Linked DNA regions of Alligator mississippiensis. The protein of the gene in region 2 purifies or fractionates together with the protein of the main gene of each other region. This does not show direct contact. Links are inferred from orthologs where the notes say so. Each region holds a gene or a part of one and is shown on either strand. Other genes may lie near its edges.

Evidence for each region. Proteins that work in one complex are often made in the same cells at the same time.
Region 1: the proteins of EWSR1 (region 2) and DDX17 purify together in Homo sapiens (affinity purification with mass spectrometry; 3 studies listed by BioGRID, with this or other methods). This does not show direct contact. The link is inferred for Alligator mississippiensis from reciprocal best matches to the Homo sapiens genes EWSR1 and DDX17.

Annotation. Positions count from the first base shown.
Region 1 is NC_081827.1:99,531,938-99,539,715, reverse strand, and holds the start of DDX17 (probable ATP-dependent RNA helicase DDX17), read right to left. Parts: upstream 3,104-7,778; 5' UTR 2,902-3,103; coding exon 2,849-2,901; intron 1-2,848. Other genes in the region: DMC1 (meiotic recombination protein DMC1/LIM15 homolog), read right to left, coding at 7,715-7,778. UniProt on the Homo sapiens protein: As an RNA helicase, unwinds RNA and alters RNA structures through ATP binding and hydrolysis.
Region 2 is NC_081833.1:26,356,192-26,363,888, forward strand, and holds the start of EWSR1 (RNA-binding protein EWS), read left to right. Parts: upstream 1-4,687; 5' UTR 4,688-4,776; coding exon 4,777-4,789; intron 4,790-7,697. UniProt on the Homo sapiens protein: Binds to ssRNA containing the consensus sequence 5'-AGGUAA-3'. Might normally function as a transcriptional repressor. EWS-fusion-proteins (EFPS) may play a role in the tumorigenic process.

The DNA.
Region 1 (7,778 bases), on a different chromosome or scaffold from region 2:
ACCCACAGCATCCTTATAGGCTCGGCAGTGCTATGTTGGTTAGCACTATGGAAGAAAGAGACTTGGGGGTCATCACTGACCACAAGATGAACATGAGCCTGCAATGCGATGCTGCGGCTAGTAAAGCGACCAAAACGCTGGCTTGCATCCATAGATGCTTCTCAAGCAAACCCCAGAACGTCATTCTCCCCCTGTACTCGGCCTTAGTGAGGCCGCAGCTGGAGTACTGCGTCCAGTTTTGGGCTCCACAATTCAAAAAGGATGTGGAGAAGCTTGAGAGAGTCCAGAGAAGAGCCACGCGCATGATCAGAGGTCAGGGAAGCAGACCCTACGATGACAGGCTGAGAGCCCTGGGGCTCTTTAGCCTGGAAAAGCGCAGGCTCAGGGGTGATCTGATGGCCACCTACAAGTTTATCAGGGGTGACCACCAGTATCTAGGGGAACGTTTGTTCACCAGAGCGCCCCAAGGGATGACGAGGATGAATGGTCACAAACTACTACAAGATCATTTCAGGCTGGACATAAGGAAGAATTTCTTTACTGTCCGAGCCCCCAAGGTCTGGAACAGCCTGCCACCGGAGGTTGTTCAAGCGCCTTCATTGAACACCTTCAAGATGAAACTGGATGCTTATCTTGCTGGGATCCTATGACCCCAGCTGACGTCCTGCCCTTTGGGCGGGGGGCTAGACTCGATGATCTTCCAAGGTCCCTTCCAGCCCTAATGCCTATGAAACCTATGAATCATCTGGCCTGCACAGCTGCTGCTGTGGCTTCAGGAGCCATAGTTATCAAGACTACTGCCACCAAATTCAACTCCTCAGGCCAGATGATGCAGCTCCATGCTCCTGATGCTACCCATGGACTGGCTCCATGACACTCACCTGGCCCACAGGACCAGACGTGTTGGACATTTGCCTGGAGTACTTCTACTGATTAGCATAGATTTATTCCACATTTTTACTAGTTCAATAGTAACACTACTGACTGATATTAAATATTCAGCTATCATGTCAACCACTGTAGTGAAGCCACCTCTAAGACAAAATTAAATAACAGATTATTTAGTGCCAAAGCAGCACAGCATCACTTCCAAACCTAAAAAGTCACCTAGTTTGTTCAAGATGGGAAGTAAGGAAGACTTGCATAGCCAGCTGACCATACAAGGGGAATTGACAGCAAGCAAAATGTACCATCCAGCTGAAATCTGGCCACCCTGCTGGGGGAAATGCCTGTTATCTTTCAAACCTCTTGTGCCATCTTGATGACAGCAAACCATTAAAAATGGCTTTGCATCTTAAAAGATGAAGTTCATAAAGATACATCACTGAAATACTTTTTGTTATTACAACACATGGCAAAATAAGTGGATTACTCTGAATGAAATCAGGGTTAATATACACTGTGTGTGAATGGAACCCTAAAAAGAGGGCAGGGGCAAGTAGTTCTCCCTTTCTGATTCTGCACTTTTCACAGTCTTTTAAACTGCTTGCATTCAAAATAAGAGAGGTGCAGAACATTTTAGTTAAATAAAAATAACCTTTTCTTTGATTACTCCACTCATCTAACATTTATTGAAGTAAAGCGTTTCAATATCAGTCTAATACCCAAAAAGTACAGAAGAGTCTAGATTAGTGAGTCCTATGCCTACAATGGCTTAAAAATAAATCTCGTAAGTAGAATTCTTAAAAATAAATACCTATTTAGAATCAAGAAAAAAAATTAACCCCAAATAAGAGGTTACAAATGGAAATACATCAAAATGGGGTGTATTAAGGATACAGACTCTGGCCCTTTAAGTACAATTCTGCACACTACTATTCACTCAACTCCAAAAAAGAGCAAGGCCTCCACTATCAACAACTTGCAGATGTGTTTACCCCAATGTCCTTGCCTTGAACCAGCTGGAAAGCTCAGAGTGGAAAAACACTGAGGCCTGCTTCTCTGTCAAGTAACTAAAAGGATCTTTTCATTTCTGAAGATGTGTGTGGAGAATGTAAACATAAAATGAGAGTGCAGCTCTGTGCTCCCCCTACTCTTCTGAGGGAGATAACATTAATAAGCACTTCAATGTACACAAGAAAAAAAAATCCCCTGAATCTCACCAAGGCAGGAGGAGAAAGTAAACGCAAGTGTAGCAAGCAGGCCATTCATTTCCTTCTTACCAATCTACACCCCCCTCCCCGCCCCCCCCAGTCTTCAGTTTTCAAGGAAGGAAAAATAAAGGTGTTTCCTCATTTCTCAGAAGCCAAGTTCTTATATGCCATTTAAACTTATTTTATGTGCAGTTTTAACTTTCTGTGGAGATTTACAGTAGAACCACTGTCCTGCTTCAATTCCCTTCCCTTCCCCAGGTAATTCGGGTTTGTTCGCACATTTCCTATCAAGTATTTTGGAGGTACCAGATTGTTGTGAATAATCACGAGACCAACTCTCCTCACACTGAGCTGGGTCCCAGGAGAAGCGAGACCTGGGGAGCTGCACGAGAAGGGGATCAAAATGTTTTGTGGCCTTTGCAGAGAAGATCCTGGTTGCCGAAAGAGATGCAGGCTGGAGACTGAACCGGGAGCTACTCCCCACGTCTAGGAGAGTCCCTACAACCTACCACAGTCGCAGACAGGGTCACCCAGCAGGGCTTGGTCGGGCCGCCCCACATGACCCTCTCGGAGCACTTCCCCAGAGGCGGGGGCTCCCTGGGGCACCCAGGCGTTGCCATGCGGAGCGAGGCCAGGGCCGAAGGCTGCAGCCCCCCCCCCCAAGGCGAGGGGACCCGGGGGGAGGACACCAGGCCGGGGGGGGGGGGGGGGACTCCCCGCTAGCGGGCCCCGATGGGGGAGGGGAAGAAACTCACCCTCCGCGGTCACGGTCGCGGCCGCGGTCCCCAAAGCTGCGCATGGAGTCCATGGTGCCGGGGGGAGCGGGGCTGAGCGCGCGAGGGGAGGGCGGCGCGGCGGGCGGCGACGGCTGCTGTATCCCGGCGGCGGGGCGGCAGCCGCCTGGCTTCCCGAGGGGGGAAGAGCGGCTTCGCAGCAAGAGAATGACCCTGCCGGGACCGGCTGGCGAGGGCCGCGGAAGGCTCGGGGCACGGCGGGGCCCGCTGGGCGCGGACACCGAGCGTCTTCCTTCTCCGGACTCCCGGCACAAAATGGCCGCCGCCACTCCAGCCCGCTCAGCTTACGTTAAGGGCGGCCCGAACATTACGTAGGCTACGTGTCCGAGGAGCAGCGCCTATTCTCGAATTCCGAGTACGCAGGCGGCCCCTTGCGAATAAGCGGGCCAGAACAACAGGCCCCTTAAGAAAGTGACGTAGGGTTCTCCGGCGGAGTGAGAGCCTCGCGTAGGAAGGTAACGTTCTCCCTATTCCTAAAAGTCGGCTACGCAAAGTGCCAATCGCACAACCTAGCTATGAAGCAGGGAGACGGCTCTGGCCGAGCGGCACGTTACGTAAGGACGAGGCGTACGAAGATTGTGTAGCGGCCGCTGGCTCTGAGTTGGAGGTGCTGCGGGAAGGAAGTGCCGTCCATTTTGCGTAAAATTTTTCAGCGGGTCTCGCTCAGCCGGCAACGGAGCGGGGCAGGAGGGAAAGGGCAGTAAAACCACGTACAGGGTGCAGCGTATCGTGGTTGAAGAATAAGGCCCTTTGCCTTAGCGGGCTGCAGCTTCAGGAGGCCGCATTGCACTGCGGAGACAATAACCCGTGTCTGCTGCGGCTGGAGCTGCGGCGCTTGGTGGGGGTCTCCCTGTGCGGCTTTCTTCTGCAGCCGGAAGACCGTCCCCTGCCCAGTGTCACAGCCCGCCCCGAGCTCGGCGTGTCTGCCCAGCAGGCAGGGCCTTGCGCGAGCCTGCACTTCTGGCCTGCAGGCCTCCCAGGAGCGATCGTGGTGCAGTGCGGGGGGCAGCCATGACGCTCGCTCTTCCCCTGCTTCCAGGAAATGGAAAGCAGACAGAGATTCTGCCGGACTAAATGAATGTGCCTCTGTGCAGGCCCGGCAGTTCTCCGAATCGTTCGCGACAACCTGGGCAAAAGCTACGTGAAGTGATAATGTGCAGGGCACTGTTAGACTGCCCAGATGTTTCTCCGTGCCATGCTCTGCAATATGCTAGGACCGAGTCTCCAGGGTTGAGTGGAGGAGCCCCCTCCTATTGCGGCACCAGTAGCATATACACTGTTCAAGGGCCGTTTTAAAATTAGCTCTCCCCCCCCATCCCATAATTCCAAGTGGCCCCATAATTAGATTATACTAATTGTTAGGGTTTTCTGGTTTCCAAACTGAATTTATTTGCCCTCTATACCTATTTGCTCTTGTACCAAGGCTGCCCTTTAGTTTAAAGTGTTTCCCTACCTGCCCCCTTATCATGTATTTATACAGATTAAACAAATCCTTTCAGCCTCCATTTTGCTAAAATAAACGATCCAAGTTATTTTAGTCTCTGCTAGAACTGGCTCTACTTAAAAGTGTTCTGTTGCATCTAACTGGTTTATGTTTTAAAAGAGATTAGTCAGATAATGTTTTGAAGTGTTAAACCTAGTAATAGTGATTGGTTAAATGCTGCTTTCAGTCATAGATGTGTAATTCCACTGAAATCAATAGGATTTCATAGGTTTGTAACTGAAATTAATGTTGCTTACAGTATTGGATTTCTCTGATTCTTGTAGCTTCACAAAGCCCAATGCTCTCTTGGCCGTAGCAAGTAGAAGTTGTGAAGCCCGGCAGGTGTGTGAGAGTTGGGGGAACTGGAAGGAGTAATATCAGCTCTGCAGTTTCATATCAACCACAGAAAAAAACACTTTTTTAAGGCATGGTGGAGCGCTAGGAGACATCTGCTCTTTGCAGCCTTGTTGCCCCACAACATATCCAGAGTGAGTTTCTTGTCCTTTGCAGAAGTCTTTGCCCGCTCACAGAAGGGAGGATCTGGCCTACACAAATACTACGCCCTTACTTTTGTAAAAGCTGACAAAAGATGTTGCAAACAAATACAATAGAACTTCAGTTATCCCAAATGATTAGTGTCACTATAATTCTGGATAATCAGTTTTCCTAGATGGGGGTGTCAAACTCAACAGGCAGCGTGGGCTGGATGAGTGGCATGGGGCTGGTCCACCTGCAGGATTGGACCCGTGAACTCCCCTCACCCCCATACTAGACCAGTACCCACGGTGTCTGTTCTAGGATCTGCGCTGCACACGGTGGCCCCTCCCCCGGGCATTGGTCTGGAATCTGTACCACACGTGGTATCTGGTCCAGTTGGTCCACAATCCATGCTGTACGCGGTGCCCACACCACTGGTCTAGGACTGCACTGTGTGTGGTGCATATCCTGGACTGGCTGGGGAAGACACAAGGCAGTGGGAGAGGAAGGGAACCTGTGTGGCACAGTACTGGATGAGCTGGGGCTGGCACCAGGTATAGCGCAGATCCTGAAGCCAGCATGGTATGTGGTGCGCATCCCAGGCCTTATGTGCAGGGCCGGTCTGGCATGCACTATATGGGTTAATTTGGACACAGGAGCAGCACTGGAAGCTGGATGATGGAGTTCTGCAGGCCAGATGCAGCCAGGTAGCCTTATCTTTTGGCCCCTGTCCTAGATAATCAAACACCACAATATGAAGTGCACTTTAATTACTGTTCTGTGTAGTAAGCTAAAAAAAAAAATCAAGGAATGAACGTATGGTATTATGTAATGCTTAAAGATCTCAGAACATTAGTTAGTAAACAATACACAGTTGTCTCACCGACAAGCAAGCCAACTGTGGACTGGTGGTTTTGTTAATACAACACTTTCTAGTTAACTGACTTCCCAAATAGTTGATGCTCCACTGAAATCATTTTATTCAATAGTCAGGTATTCCTCAAGACTAAAAATGGGCCTACCTCCTATTTGACAACTAATTGAACTATGATTAAATCTGAGAGCGATTTTGAAGATTATTCCCTGACCCATCCATAAAACAGTGGGAAATACACTTTTCTCGTGTATTAAAGCTTATTTTATTGCTTGTTTATGTGCTACATAGGTGAGTGGCCTGCCTGGTATTTAAATTCATGCTAGACCAGGTTACATTTATTAAATTCTTGATTGATCATCAGTATTTGTATATGATGTCAAGATCTTATATTTTGTCCACTTTGTGATCAAACTGTGTAGCTAAGGGGTTCTCAAATGTTTTCTGGTTGAGTCCACATTTTAATAGAGAAGTTATCTAAACTATCTGCAATGTTATACTCAAAGGGATGCCTCTTTGGCATTAAGCTGGGGCTTCTTTTATCCTGTGTTTTAGGATGTGTGTTGTCATCTACTGGTCACATGATGCTGGCAGCCTTCCCTGAACTGCATTTAAAGAATTCAAACCATACATTATATATATTTCTAATGTTCCTTTCCTAAAAAGAAGTAATTGTTCGTGTTGCCACATAGGTATTATGTAACTGTGAATGGGAAGAGAAATGGTTTATAAAATAATCTCTCTCTTTTCACTCTGAAAAAGTCAGGAAACGACTGACTGAGCAAGTCATGAAAAGGGTATGCCTTATTTTTTCTCTAGATCTGACTTAACTTTTTAAAAAGTTTTGTTTCTTGCCTCAAAATAATTGATGACTATGACCTATCACAAGGTAAATACTATAGTGAAGAGGACGCACTGTAGTCTCACTGCGAAGCAAATACATTGAAGTCAACATCAAGAAAGAGTAGTCAACCACAATGAGTTCCTTGCAGTAAGACTAAAGTGATTTGTCATCTCTGTGCTTTTGCCTTATGATAGCACTTGTACTTCAATTACTCTGTTAAAAATGCACCTTTTTAGCGGTGAACAGAAACCCTCAAGCCAGGCGCTAAAGTTGGCTTCCCATTCGGCTCTTTTTTTGGCTGCAAAGAGGGTTTGCTATTAGGTGCTAAAAATCCCTCAAAGTGTTAAACATGGACTGTTTCTTTAATTTACACATTTTGTTTTCTGCTTATTTATTTGAAATATTGGGCTACATCCTGTTTAGTTTGCCCACTGAAGTTCTCACAACAAAGTTAATAGGCCAGTTCAGGTGATCAGGTTTTGACTTAAAGTATATGTATTGCACACAAGCATAGGGAAGAGATGTTCTAATTTGGTATTTTCCATTAACATGAAAATACATAACATTGTTAAATATTCTAAAACAGAATTAAATACAAATAAATCACTAATTAATCAAGATTAAAATTTCTAAAAATTGTCTTCAAGTAACTATCATTCTTCTATTCTCAATGAGATCTAGCAAGTTCCTGTATTCCTGTTGCTGTCTACTACATTTCCCCTCTATGTATTAACCACTCATTTTTTTAAACCATGTTTGTTTCAATGCTGTTTTATTCCATGCTGTGTACACCCTATCTCACAGACATTCTCTTTCCAAGAAACTATGAAAGGTCCCATTAAGCCCATAAGATAAAACAGCTTTACTTCTCACAAACCCTAAAGAAGACATTTCTTGAACGAGTCACAAGTTTCTTTGCTTTGTAAATTTCTGAGTGCTGCAAATTTCATTTAAAAAAAAGAAATAACATGAACCAGTTCCTGTTTAGATCATTGAAATATGATCTTCTAATAACTTTCTAGTGTGCTCCCAATTCTAAATATCCAAAACTGAGCCTGAAAAATACAAAGTAATCAGGGAGTCAGTAACCTTGGATACTTTGGCTTTATCTGGGCGGTTTTCAGATGGAGATTTTTGCCAGGTTTCTGCTTATTCTTTGGCATCCCCAATTCCTCCAGTAGTTATGGCAAACGTGGCTTCATTTTCAGGCATC
Region 2 (7,697 bases):
GTAGATGTGTCTGCAAGGAGGAGGCCAGCAGGCTGCTCAGTAAAGAAGCCTGAGGTTGGTACTGAGCACCCCCACTCTCCTATCCTTGGATCTGTAGGACTGCTCTTTCCCTGCTCAGTTCTAGCAGCGAAGTAGTGAGCTGCAATTAAATTTAAACTACAATCATTGGACCTCTAAGATAAATCTTCACTGAGGTGACTGGAGCCATTTGCACTACTCCACCCTTTCAGGTCCTTGACAGACTCGAGGAAGAATCACTGTTTTAGGGACCAGGCATCACTTTGAAGTTTTTTTATAGACACAAGGGACAGAGACTTCCTTGGTGGAAGCTGAGATCCTATAGAGTATAAGAGGGCAGTTCAGGGAAAGCAGGAATTAAGCCCATATTCAGGTATGACCCCAGTTCAATTTCTGACGCATGTTATTGCTGTCACACACACAGCTGTATGAAACTGGGGGAAGAATTCCTGATGAATACAAGTGCAAACAAAGTCATGAGAGGCTCCTTGCTTAACTAGACTGTGTGCATGTTGGGAGGGGGCAAGGGGGTGGGAGCGGAGTGGATATGAAGCAGAAAGCTACGGCAGTGATTTTTGGATCAGCTCCCATGGTATCCATCTGAAGTAACTGAGCACGTTATGCCAGTCTAAGGAGTATCTTCTACATTTCATGGGTGTTGGTTGTAGCCATGATGGTCTCAGGACATAGGCAGACAAGGTTCTTTGGGTAAATATGATATCTTTTATTAGACCAACTAAATAGTTGGTAAAATTATTCTTTGCATCTTTCAGGTACAAACACCTGACTCTCCCTCTGCCTGAAGAAGGGTGTTTGTATCCAAAGCTTGCAAAGAACATTTTTTCCAACTATTTAGTTGCTCTAATAAGATATCACATTTACCCAAAGAACCTTGTCAGTCTAAAGAGTAGATGCTTCAAACCAGAGCAGAGACAAGAACTTCCAGTCCGATGTTGTGACCACTAGGGAACAATCTTATACTGGCAGGTAGATGGACTTAGGCCAGGTCTGCACTAAAGATGGGCCACCATAGCATGTTGGCTTACAACAGCCAATACTATTATGTCATTGGAGAGCACACGCACTTGAGTGCCCAGGTTGGTGCCGTGTCTTCAGCCTTTGGGTTGTGCTGGCTATTGCCAAACTGCACCAAGGGTAGGTATCCCAGTGGTACCACCTTCCAATGAAATGCAGTGCAGGGCACTTTTGCAGTGCATTGTGGGATGGTGCTGCAATACCCAGGCAATGGTAGTTACTCAGGGTCAGTGACCTACAATTCTTTTTTTCTTCCTGCTGTGTTTTCCACACTGGGCACGTCTACATGAAATACTAAAAGTGCAGTAGACTGATTCTATTGTGCATTACAGTGAAAACTGCTAATGCAGAGTAGAATTAGTCTTCTGAACATTAGCTTCACTTAATTGACATGCATTGGTGCTACTGCGTAGTAGTGCTTATTACTGTGTATTTAGTGCCTGTTCAGGTATTAAACTTAATGTGCAGTAATTACAGCGCATTGATACATGTGTAGACATGCCCACTGTTGTTTGACATCCCTGAGTTCCTTGTGTTCTTCTTCCTTTACCACTAGCCAGGCTCTTGCACAGGTGACCAGAGCTTGTGCAGTGTTCTACAGATGGGCCACACCATTCTTTTATAGGTGCATAATAATAGAATTGAAAGAGGTAGTTAGCCATGTTAGTCTGAAGTCATGCAGAAGGCAGGGTACATTTTCACCTCATGGATGATCTAAGTAATAACTAAATAATTTAGCTGACCACTATTGCTGTAATAGCTGGGACATGGTAGCTAAGTGGTTAAGGAGTCTTGATACATCTCCAGAGGCATGAGTTCAAGCAGGCACCTGGTCATTCAGGCTGGAGAATCAAAGGCAACCAGACATGTTGCTAACCACTTCACTACTGTGTGTGCCACCGGCTACAGAAGCTAACATGCTTCTAGACTTGGGTGGATCTTTGACATTTTTTACTATTGTGGCAACTGGTGGTTGGATGCAGATGACATGAGACTTTTGGAGGAGAATGAATGAATAATTAAGATTGTCCAACAAACATTTTTCCAGCTTACCTGTGTATGAGTTTTAGGATCAGTTTCCTTCATCCTAGGCAGGAAAATTTGATTCACCTCTCTCTGAGCTAGAAGGGGAATGAACAATCATGTGGGAGTGAGCGTTAATGAGACCTTCCAAATACCTTGTTCTGTTGTCCCAAAGGGGCCTGCTTGGAATCTTCTTTCATTAAAAGACATTTCCCAAATTTGGCAGTAACTGATGGCAAGCTATTTCCCTTCAGGATTTTTTTTTTTTTTTGCCAAGCAGGGAATTATATTAACAATTCTAAAACTTTATTCATGCATCTTAAATGCCTTGGAGGCAGTTAGAGGTCAGCACTAGTCCTATTATCATTGGGTATAAATTGCCTTGTAACTGTAACAGTGATAATTCAAGAATCACATACGAGAATTCCCCAAACCTCCTGACAACAGGAGTCAGTGCAATGTAGTAGATGTATTCAGACTTCAGAGACAAGATCTTCTTGTTTCTCATCAAAGTTGCTTTCCCATTCTGTGCCTCAGTTTCCCCATTTGAAAAAAATAATTCACTTGACCACGCCTGGCTGTTCTGAGGACAGATCAATGACATTTCACACAAACATTAAGTATTAGAAATACTAAGAAATTACTAAGTATCATTATTGTTACTGTTTCATCCATTAACTTGCTGCAACCTAAATTACATAACAAAACTCTGCTAGAGGAAGAATGCTTGAGATAGCAATTTCTTACTGTTGTAAAGACAAGCTCCAGAGAAGCAAATCCCTACTTGGTAGCAGAGGCTCCTTGAGGTAGGCTTAGGCTCTCCAAATTTGAATTGGAAACTAAATAGTTCACATTAAGCTGCACCTGTTAGGTTCAAGTCAGTGTAAATTTGGAGTGCTTTGGCTTAAGTTACTGTGGTTACCTGAACTTTTGATTCCAAACCTAGATCAATAAGAACTTGCATCAGGGCTGAAACTGGGCCCTGAGGCCTGCTTCTCCATGGCCTTGCTCCTTTGCTGTTCTCATTTATGCTGGCACTTTGTACCTGGATTGCACATACATATATGATAACACAAAGGGAAGGCAGAGATACACTGGTAGCAGTCTTTGGTTCTGTTGGCATGTCAGCTTTTTTAAACAAATCAGTCCACAGTTCTGAGTGGGAATTCATCTCCTGCCCAACACATGGGTGAGTCAGCAAGCTCTTTTCTGAGGATAATGAATTATCTACAGAATTTAAGTTTTAGTTTAATAAGAACTGGTTTCTCTCCTTTCAGGTTGTGAAGAAAATCCCTTGAAGATATAGAGTGGCAGTGATTAGGGTAATCAAATATCTAGGCATGGGGGACATGCTGATCTTGACATCTGCCACTAGATAATCTACTTTCTACTACTTGCAGCTTTTAAAGTATCCAGCTTATAAATATTGAACAGAAATGCTAACGTGAGATGCACAGTAAGAGCTGGGAATGATGTGGATTTTGAAGTGTGGAAGACAGAAGTTTGGGTGCCCCTATACTGTACATATTTAAGTTTATACTGTTGACACCTTTGCTAGAAAGGATGGAAAGTCAGCAAAATGGTTTACTTTTAGTCTAATTATGCAACTACCTCGCGGGAAGGTTTTTATATGGCACAAATCTGGAATAGTGAAGAGAGTATAGGCTTGGCCTCAAAGATTAAGTGTGTTGCACTCTAGGTAACCTGTAAAGTTGTCACAGTCACCTGTCCTGGACAATGTAAAATTGTTCTGCCCTGAGTCACAGATCCCTGGATTGCTTTTAAAGTCTGTGTAACATCAGTATTTTGGCAATGCAGCACCACAATACATGGCAAAGGTCTTCATTAACCCGCTGCATTAAGACACCTTGGCACTGTGATTCTTGGTCCTAACAGCATGCCAGCAAACAGTGACTCCGTGATGGTACCATGCTGACATCTGACACACGAGGACATCCGGGTGAGCCTGGGTGATTGCATTTCACCAGCATGTCAGCGAACGACTTGCACGTGATAACCTCATGCCACCGTGCCAGGATTGCGCCTGCTGCTATTGCCCACGAGAATGCAACGCCAGATCCCAACGCTGCAGTTGGTGCCCTTGTGCCAGTGCCCAGCAGCTCCATGCCATGACATCATGCAATGCTGCAAGTCTGTGCAATGATGTCGGGCTCTGTCTGATGAGGTTTTAAAGCAGTTGACGTCGTCTGCACCGCTGGTATTTGGGCAGGTAGCAAATCCGAGAGCAGGGCTCGCTCCTTACCCCCCGCGCGCTCCCCGGGGACGCATTCCAGCAAGGTCACTCAACCTCCCCTTGGCCTGAAACGACTGCAAGGCCAAAAGCGCCCTAGCCCCGCCTCTGAGGCCTGCTCTACGTTTCCCGGCTGGGGCGCCTATTGTGCCACGATCCCTAAAGTGGATGGACTGAACCATTCCACACCCTCTGGGGGGAGAGCCAGCAGACGTAAATCACGAGGACAACTCCCGTTCCCTCTTTCGGGTGCCTGACTGGGCTGGGCTGGGCCATACGGCTCGTCACAGGCAGGGCGGGACGAGCCGGGCCCGGCGCAGCGGAGGCAGGCTCCTGCTTCTTTCCCCCGTCCCGGAGTGGTAGCACCCGAGGTGGGAAAGGCTGCGCATGCGCAGTGCGGGCGGCAGAGCCCGGACGGACGTTGAGAGAACGAGGAGGAAGGAGAGAAAATGGCGTCGACGGGTGAGCGCCGGGGCCGGGCCGGGGCGGCGGGGCCGGGCCAGGCCAGGCCAGGAGAACCCAGGGCAGCCCCGGAGCGCGCCCGCGCGGCGGAGCCGTCCCGCTGCCGGCGGGGCGAGGCGAGGCCGAGCGCGGGACAGAGGCCGCGGCCCCGCCCGAGCGCCCCCCCCTTCCCCCGGTACCGGCCCCCTCCCCCCCGGCGCCGGGGGCGGTTCTGGAAGGTTCCGCGGCGCGGGGGGGCGGACCGGGGTCGCGGGGAGGCCGGCCAGCCGGCCGGCCCCATTGTGTAACGTGCGGCGGGTCTGGCCCGGCCCGGCCACGCGGCCTCCGCAGGGACAGGCCATGCCGTGGCCGCGCCCTCCCGTGCGGGGGTGACCGGGCCGGGCGGGCGGGCGCAGATCTGCTTCGGGGCCGGGGCGCGCCCCCTCCCTTCCCGCCCGCCGTCGCGCCTGGGCTCGGGCGCGGGTCACCTGACCGTCCCCCCGCAGCTCCCCCGCCCCCCGCGGTTGCAGGCCTGTGGCCGCTGCTCGGATGCCTCGGGCGGCGCCTGCCCCGCTGCATCGGGAGCCGCCGGGGCCTGCAGGCAAGGGCTCCCACCCGGGCGGGGGAAAGGGAGCCGTGGGCCCCGTGAGGTTTTGTCTCGCTGGAGCCGAGAGCTCTGGGCAGGGCTGCGCTGGGCACCGAGCTCCAGGCAGGTGCGGTGGTAAGAACAACCCCAGGACGGCAGCAGCTCAGCCTGTGGAAGTGCAGGGGCAGATGCTGCTCTGGTCCCCACGGCCCGGGGTCGGTGGTGCTCGCTGTACGACTTCATCGGAGAGGGTCCAGGAGTTGGTCCAGTTACAGCTTATCTTTTGCTGCCTCTCTGGTGCTCTTTAAGTCGTCTCTGCATTAACATCCCTTTGTGTAATTATTAGGACTGCTAGGACCAGCACTACTTTGGCAGCTTCCCTCTGCAGGTTCAGGCTTTAGTAATATCTACTAATTCATCCTGGCTGGCTGTTACATTTTCATTGGACAAAAAGAAAATTATGTCTAATAAGTTACGTGTTGAAATGAGGTTTATAATGCTGCTTTTTCCTTCCTGCCTTAAAATTGTCCTTAATGTGTTCTGATCCTTGCTCCTTTTCCAATACAGGGGAGCAATTGGCATTAAATAGTTAAAATTCCAACTTTTGAATACAGCTGAATTTTTTTTCTCTTGCAAGAGTTGGGATATACATATACAAATAATTACAGTTCCATTTAAGCAAAAATACAGGCTGAATAACTGTTAGTCTGATGTGATTACATGACAGAAATCTTGTGCAGCGTACACCTTTGAAAATAGGGTTGGCATGTCAGCAACCTTTAATCAGTGTATGATGTTGCTGGGATCACAGAAGAAGTAGGATTAAGTGTTTGGTTATATTAAATACTAGACTAATTTTGAGTTCTTTTATTGAAATTCACATACCAAAATGGAGGAACCTTGTTTCCCCTCCCCCCACCCCCTCTTTAGCCATGAAATGCATTCAGCATTTCATGCCTGGGCTTTCCTAAGCAAATATGCCTTTGACTGCTGAAGTTCAGGTTATGTACAGGAGTGGTGTAGATGAGAAGATGGAGACTGATGTACATGCTAGGATTCAGTATTTTTTGAAGTGTTTGTAAATCTGCTTTGGACTTGCATGGATCTTAAATGCCTTAGCATGGATCAGGTCGTTACAAGTTTTATCCATACAAGCTGTCTAAACCCTGCTAAAAATGCCTTTCAGTGATGTTGCTTGAATTCAACTTGTAGATGTGTAGTCATAGCAGTGGAAGGGTAAATAGATAATACTTTTCTTTGGAGAAAATCAGTTTGCTTGCTTCAAGCAAGCACCTGGTTATCTTTGACTAGCTACACATGTAACCAGGTTATATTTGTCACAGGGCCTCATGACACAATATAGTTCAGTTATGCAGTGTAGGTAGTAGATTAATTCTGCCCTGGTACCTTAATACAGTTCTGTACCTGGCACCTTTTGATAACATTTGGGAGCTTGATTAACTGCCTAGCTGCACTAACCACAAAGGCAGTATTATGATTCTGTCCCCTAATATGGTTTAAGTATTAATTCAGTAGATTTTTGGCACTAGAAGGACCATTCTGGGAGCTGCTAACTACAAAAATAAAACAAAAACCCAACACACTTTCTTCATTCACCAAAGCTTCTTGTTGCCTCATGACTCATCAGAAAGCCTTAATCTACTGCACTAGTTCACCTTTAATTTGAACATCTCAAGTCTTGCAGTTTTTAAAATTAAGTACTGTAAAGGTGCTTTCAGTGGAGACTCAACATATTTTTCTGCTATTAGAATGGTTTTTCATGTTTTTTTTAAGAATATATTAAGTATTTAGTGGGTTTTTTCCTCCCTGTGTTCATCATGGAACTTCTGGCAGATGTTTTTTCTTTTTGTGGAGAAAATCAATGAAGTGTGGGAGAAGAAAATACAAAATGATGTCAGCCTTCTAAATGGACACAAGTTTTATAAAGTAGGTCAGGCTACTTGGACTATCATGTTAAACGAGAGTTAAAGCTAAACCCAACCAGATTGGATTTTCCCAGAATGAAAAGGACTTTCAAGGAAAGTGTCACTGATTAACGCTACCTTAACTCATAAAATAAATTGTCAGATCTTTTTAAAGGCCTTTTTTTCTACTTAATAAATGAAATTGTTCTTTCTGTGGAGGTGCTGTTGTAGCATACCACCATTGTACTGATAAGCCTTATATAACAGAACAGGAGAGAAGATTCAGGTTCTATTAGAAATAAAAGTTTCAGAGAAGGTTTAGCTAAATTAGTGGTGATTTGTTTGTTTTGACAAGTCCACATGTTCTAGTAAATTGAAAGGGGGAATTAATAAAGGTAGACATGTAACATAATATGCT